2 linked regions of the Danio rerio genome follow. The protein of the gene in region 2 interacts with the protein of the main gene of each other region in a biochemical or structural test. Links are inferred from orthologs where the notes say so. Each region holds a gene or a part of one and is shown on either strand. Other genes may lie near its edges.

Region 1 (3,659 bases), on a different chromosome or scaffold from region 2:
AAATGCAGAATGGGTTAGGATGTAAGATGCAAACTAAGGGTTAACTTTATAGGAAAAATTGATGAAAATATTAGTGCTCTGCAAAAACAATTTTGTTTAGACATAACTTAAGTGTGTGTACTGTGTGTATTGATTATGAATGTATAAATTCACACAGGCATGCATGTACAGTGCATCCGGAAAGAATTCATAGCGCTTCCCTTTTTCCATGTTTTATGTTGCAGCCTTATTCCAAAATTGATTAAATTCATTAAAAATTCGATACAAAATCCCCCATAATGACAATGTGAAAATAGAGTTTTTGAAATTGTTTTAAATTTATTACAAATAAAAAACCTGAAAAATCAGATGTACATCAGTATTCACAGCCTTTTCTCAATACTTTGTTGATGCACCTTTGGCAGCGATTACAGCCTCAAGTCTTTCTGAATATGATGCCATAAGCTTGACACACCCGTCTATTTCTGCCCATTCCTCTTTGCAGTACCTCTAAAGCTCTATCAGGTTGAATGGGAAGTGACGGTGTACAGCCATTTTCAGATCTCTCCAGAGATGTTCAATAAGATTTGGGTCTGGGCTCTGGCTGGGCCACTCAAGGACATTCAACGAGTTGTTGTGAAGCCACTTCATTGATATATTGGTGGTGTGCTTTGGGTCATTGTCCTGCTGGAAGATGAACCGTCCCCCCAGTCTGAGTTCAAGAGGGCTCTGAAGCAGGTTTTCATTCAGGATGTCTCTGTACATTGCAGCATTCATTTTTCCCTCTATCCGGACTATTCTTCCAGTTCCTGCTGCTGAAAAACACCCCCATAGCATGATGCTGCCACCACCATGCCTCACTGTAGGGATGGTTTTAGCCTGGTGATTAGCGCTGCCTGGTTTTCTCCAAATGTAACATCTGGCATTCACTCCAAAGAGTTCAATTTTAGTCTCATCAGAGCAGAGAATTTAGTTTCTTATGGTCTGAGGATCCTTCAGATGCGTTTTGGCAATTTCCAGGCGGGGAGTGGCTTCCGTCTGGCCACTCAACCATACGAGCCTGATTGGTAGATTGCTGCACAGATGGTTATCCTTCTGTGAGGTCTCCCTCTCCAAAGAAGAACGCTGGAGCTCAACCAGAGTGATGATCGGGTTATTGATCACCTCCCCGACTAAGGCCCTTCTCCCCTGATCACTCAGCTTAGATGGGCGGCCAGCTCTAGGAAGAGTCCTGGTGGTTAAACATCTTCCACCTACGGATGATGGAGGCTGCTGTGCTCATTAGAACTTTCAGAGCAGCAGAAATGTTTCTGTAACCTTCCCCAGCCTTGTGCCTCGAGGTCTATTCCTTTGTCTTCATGCTTGGTTTGTGCTTTGACATGCACCGTCAACTCTGGGACCTTATATAGACAGGTGTATGCTTTTTCAAATCATGTCCAATCAACTAAATTTACCACAGGTGAACTCCAATTAAGCTGCTTTAACATCTCAAGAGTGGTCAGTGGGAACAGAATGTACCTGAGCTCAGTTTAGAGCTTCACGGTAAAGGCTGAGAATACTGATGTACATGTGATTTTTCAGGTTTTTTTATTTTTAATAAATTTGCAACAATTTCAAAAACTTTTTTTCACACTGTCATTATGGGGGATTGCATGTAGAATTGAGGAAAAAAATTATTTAATCCAATTTGCAATTAGGTTGTAAAATAAAAAAATTTGGAAAAATTGAAGCGTTATGAACACTTTCCGGATGCACTGTACATACATACGAAAAATGATTTTTAAAAAAAGATTATATATTAAATAAATAAAATATGTTTACCGTGCTGACAGACTCCCTAGGCCCAGTTTTTTGGCGACTCCCTGCAGCATCTTCACAGGGTTTTGTCCATTTTCAGCAACATTTTTTACTTTTTTCCCAGATTTGTTGTTTTTGCCTGCTGTTTTCGGCTTTTCTGCTTCCTTCCGCATCTGTACTGGAAGAGAGCGGTAGACATCTAGAGCGGAGCGTTTCTCCAGACCCAGAACCTGCAGACTGTGGATGAGCTGCTCTGACTCAGGCTCTAGCACTTCCTCAGGTTCCGGCTTGGAGCTCCGGTTGCAGCGAGGAATGATGGGACAGGCCCCATCCACCAGCATATCACAGGAGTCAGTATAGATGAAGTTCAGCGCCTGCTCCAGCAGCTCCGGGGGAATCTTCTCCAGCACCAACAGGTCACAGCCCACCGCGTCCTCTCCCCGCCTCACCTCTCCATCACCCTCTCTCTCGGCCTCTGGCAACAGGATTTTCCGGAAGAAGTCGGAGCGAACAGACAGAATGTATTTGTGAGCGGGGAAGGTGCGATCGCCAGCCTGAAGGGTGATGTCGTGGATGTTGTCAGTCTCATCAGCTTCGGCAAGTAGTCGCTGGAGGTGCTGGGAGAAGGAGGACGCAGAGATCGAGGGCACTTCATACAGGCTGTGAATGAAGAACAGATTAAGAATCAATTGGAGCACAAAAATGAGCTTTTTTTTCCCCTCCAATTTCTTTTTAACGGAGAGAAGATTGTTTTCAACATTTCTAAAGATATCATTAATGATTCAGTTCTAATAACTGATTTATTTTATCTTTGCCATGATGACAGTACATAATATTTGACTAGATATTTTTCAAGATACTAGTATTCAGATTAAAATTACATTAAAGGCTTAACTAGGTTAATTAGGCAGGTTAGATTTATTAGGCAAGTCATTGTGTAACAGTGGTTTGTTCTGTAGACTATCGAAAAAAATATTGCTTAAGGGAGCTAATAATATTGACTTTAAAATGGTTTATAAAAAATTAATAACTGTTTTTTTTCTTTCTGCATTCTATCTAATTTAATTTAAATTTAATTTTCATTTAAATTTATTTTGATTTAATTTAAATGTTTTATTTTATTTAATCTATGATAAATATATATATATATATATATATATATATATATATATATATATATATATATATATATATATTTAAAGATTTATTTCTATTTTATTTATTAAAATTTTATTCAATTTATATATTATTTTATTTCATTTTATGTATTTTATAAAATTATTTTTGTGCTGGGCAATGATTATTCATTATTAATCATAACCAAAATAAAAATTTGTTTATAGAAACAGAACTATACAAAATAATTTGTTACATAGATATTTAAATGTGTATATACAGTAGATTTTGTATTATATAAACATATATTTTATATCTACATACAAAAACTATTTTTTTAGATAATAATAACTAAATATAGCTTAATGGGGCTAATAATATTGACCTTAACTGTTTTTTTTTTATTAAAAACTGCTTTTATTGTAGCCGAAATAAAACAAATCAGACTTTCTCCAGAAGAAAAATACATATAGGAAATACTATGAGAAATTCCTTGCTCTGTTTGGACAAAATCTTGTAAATATTTAAAAGAGTGGAAAAAAATACCACAAGAGGGCCAATTTATTTTGATTTCAACTGTATATAAACACATTTTATTTCAAAGCAAACTTTTATTTTGGTTATGGTTAATCACAATTAATCATTGCCCAGCACTAAAAAATATATCAAAAATAAAAATAAAATAAATAATATATATAAATTACATTTAAAATAATAAAAATAATATTGAAATCCATTTTATTTTATTTTATTAGAGATTTAAAGGC
Region 2 (3,659 bases):
AAATTGATAGGAGGGCTAATAATTATGACTTCAACTGTCCATTCAGCAACATTTTGAACCTTTCAAACTTTTTTAATCATGAATTTTCTCTCAATCTCACAGTTGGTACTGCAAGAACATCAACCGCAGTCAGGCAGAAAATTTACTAAAAACAGAAGTAAGTATGGAGCCGTGGTGGCACAATAACATGATTGGTTTATTAATGTGTCTGTAACTTTTACATTGTAATGATTATTTAAATGTGGGACAACCAGGAGAGTAATTTCTTCTGGAGACTTCAAAATCCCCCCTGTATTAGGCTTAGACAATCATATAGTTTGTTTTAATATTATTATTAACATATGAAGAGTTTAGATGCAAAAACCTATAAGTGCCGTCTGAAATGTCCATCAAAAATGAGCATTTTTGTCAGCCTCCTTTGTTTATGTTGAGATATTTCACTTTAAAGACCATAAAAAGGAATTACTATTTGCCATAAAAGTGATACTACTAAACCCACACACAGGAGCCTGATCAAAACGCTCACTCTAAAACAAAATTTCAGACGGCATTTAGAGGTTTTTGCATCTGAACCCTTCATATTATTATATTTTACAGAATACACCTGTTGATGTTAGTCTAATGGTTTGTGCTGCACAGAAAATGATCATAAAGGGGGTTTATGCATGAAAGACATTTAATAATGATCAATATTTTCATATCATTTGCCTACATATTAAGTTTGCTGCTGAGATATGCTTTGCATATCTTATATATTATATTAGTAATTGATATTACAAAATAGTTCATAATTTATTTACATGTAATTTTGAATTAAACTTGTTTAATCTGCCTAATTGTTTCCTGGGTTTTTTATCACCATGTTCCATAAATGTATGTTAATACAGGAAATGAGATTTGAATTGAAAAAATATCCCGCATTTTGTGTGTCCCCCATCCCCTTCCATCCTCTTCCAAAAACCAAAATAGGGTATATGCACAGCTAGATTTGATACTCTTCCGGTGAACAGTTAATGTGACCTTTTTCAATTCATATGGTCCCTATTACAGAATCGATGTTGTAATCTAAATAAAATACACTCACCAGCCACTTTATTAGGTACACCTGTCCAACTGCTTGTTATCACACATTTTGAATCAGCCAATCACATGGCAGCAACTCAATGCATTTAGACATGTAGACATGGTCAAGACGATCTGCTGTAGTTCAAACCGAGCATCAGAATGGGGAAGACAGGGGATTTAAGTAACTTTGAACATGGCATAGTTGTTTGTGCCAGATGGGCTGGTCTGAGTATTTCAGAACCTGCTGATCTACTGGTATTTTCACATACAACCATCTCTAGGGTTTACAGAGAATGGTCTGAAAAAGAAGAAAATATCCAGTGAGCACAGTTCTGTGGGCACAAATGTCTTGTTGATGCCAGAGATCAGAGGAGAATGGCCAGACTGGTTCGAGCTGATAGAAAGGTAACAACAAAGGTAACAACAGTAACTCAAATAACCACTTGTTACAACCGAGGTATACAGAAGAGCATCTCTAAACGCACAACACGTCAAACCTTGACGCGGATGGGCTACAGCAGCAGCCACTCCTTTCAGCTAAGAACAGGAAACTGAGGCTACAATTCACACAGGTTCACCAAAACTGAACAATAGAAGATTTGAGAAATGTCACCTGCTCTGATGAGGCTCGATTTCTGTTGCCACATTCGGATGGTCAGAATTTGGCCTCAACAACATGAAAGCATGGATCCATCCTGCCTTGTATCAGTGGTTCAGGCTGCTGGTGGTGGTGTAATGGTCTGGGGTAGATTTTCTTGGCACACTTTGGGTTTATTAGTACCAATTGAGCATGGTGTGTGAGTATTGTTGCTGACCATGCCTATCCCTTTATGAGCATGAGTGTCTCCATCTTCTGATGGCTACTTCCAGCAGGATAAAACGCCATGTCATAAAGCACCAATCATCTCAGACTGGGTTCTTGAACATGACAATGAGTTCACTGTACTCAAATGGCCTCCACAGTCACCAGAGCTCAATCCAATAGGGCACCTTTGGGATGTGGTGGAAAGAGAGATTTGTATAATGGATGTGCAGCTGACAAAGATTTCAATATGGACAAACATCTCTGAGGAATATTTCCAGTACCTTGTTGAATCTATGCCACGAAGTATTAAGGCAGTTCTGAAGGCAAAAAAGGGGTCCAACCCGGTAAATGTGTACCTAATAAAGTGGCCGTTGAGTGTATAATTAGTTAAATAGACATCAGCATTCAAGCTTAAAACGAGATGAAAAGCTGTTTACACGCACATGCCCATCAGGATCAGGTCAGCATTAGCAGGCGAGCACAGAAAGTCTGTTAAAATATACTGAGGTAAAATACATTTTCATATTTTAAAGACATGGCGTGGGAAAATGTAATTTAATGCAGTGCTTCCTGCTCAATCTGAGACCGACTTTATATCGTATACCAATCAGGCAGTGAAGATGGTTGATTTTTAAAGTAAACAGACCTTAAACTCGCAAATTTTGTAACAGCATACAGTTCACCGGAAACATCTGACCCAGGTTACTGAAAAATGTAAAGTCCTTCTGTATACTTCTGCATATACCCTATTAAACCATTGTGTGAAACCAACTTGAATTCACCATATATGTTTGTTTACTATGCAACTTTTTTTTTCTAAAATTAACATAGAACAAAGATGGCGGTTTCTTGGTGAGAGACTCTGGCAAATTCACTGGAAAATACACTGTTTCTGTGTTCACCAAGGCTGGAGGGTGAGTTTGATCAAGTTACACATTTGTTTCACTGTTAACTTATCGAAATGAAAGTGGAAAACTGACCCAGCCGGAACAGCGATATCAATCCCTCCATGCAAAGTAGGAAAAGTCACGCTGTGTAAATTGTCACGAGATTGTTATTGTCGCTCTCTCAATTGCCCTTTGTAAGATGAACGGTGACCTGAGTTGATCATGTGGGTATGAATTTACAATAAGACCATACATTTATAATGCACAAACAGTATTTATTCATCTTTGTTAAGTCAGTTAATGGGAGATAAAGTTGATCACTGTTAGCTCACGGTGCATTAACTAATGTTAATTAGCTTTAATATGGATTATAATAATGCATAAGTAAGAGTTTAACTATAATTTATATGCTTTACAGGTGTTGTTCATTAATAGTTCATGTTAGTAAATATATTTAATAAGCTTACTGTAAAGTGTGAACTTCATTTCTGGTCTTGCAGGGAGACTTCTGGCAGCTGCAGACACTACAACATACTGCTCACTGCAGACGGCCAGTTCTATCTAGCGGAGAAGCACAACTTTACCAATATCCCAGAGCTTATTAATTACCATCAGCACAATGCTGCAGGTAAATATCACCTCAGTCTTGGGTAGCATCACTCAGAGGGGCCATTTTTCAATAGGCAAGGCAGGTAAGGCCTTGACAATGACAGTCCATAAAGCCCCGTTCAGACTGCATGATTTTTATTGTTAGCTACAGTCACTGTGTCAGATTTTGACTAGATAAAATCTTGACGTTTGGTGGGTACCAAATATGCAAATGACTTCGCAATCAATCACCGTGTGACCACTGCGACACGCATGCTGTTATCAAGAAGCTGCATGAATAACAAATCATAGCA

Evidence for each region. The genes of interacting proteins can lie anywhere in the genome.
Region 1: the proteins of btk (region 2) and ibtk form a complex in vitro, tested with the Homo sapiens proteins (2 studies listed by BioGRID). The link is inferred for Danio rerio from reciprocal best matches to the Homo sapiens genes BTK and IBTK.

The regions. Positions count from the first base shown.
Region 1 is NC_133191.1:5,078,846-5,082,504, reverse strand, and holds part of ibtk (inhibitor of Bruton tyrosine kinase), read right to left. Parts: intron 2,437-3,659; coding exon 1,801-2,436; intron 1-1,800. UniProt on the Homo sapiens protein: Acts as an inhibitor of BTK tyrosine kinase activity, thereby playing a role in B-cell development. Down-regulates BTK kinase activity, leading to interference with BTK-mediated calcium mobilization and NF-kappa-B-driven transcription.
Region 2 is NC_133189.1:43,499,728-43,503,386, reverse strand, and holds part of btk (tyrosine-protein kinase BTK), read left to right. Parts: intron 1-102; coding exon 103-157; intron 158-2,701; coding exon 2,702-2,784; intron 2,785-3,257; coding exon 3,258-3,385; intron 3,386-3,659. UniProt on the Homo sapiens protein: Non-receptor tyrosine kinase indispensable for B lymphocyte development, differentiation and signaling. Binding of antigen to the B-cell antigen receptor (BCR) triggers signaling that ultimately leads to B-cell activation.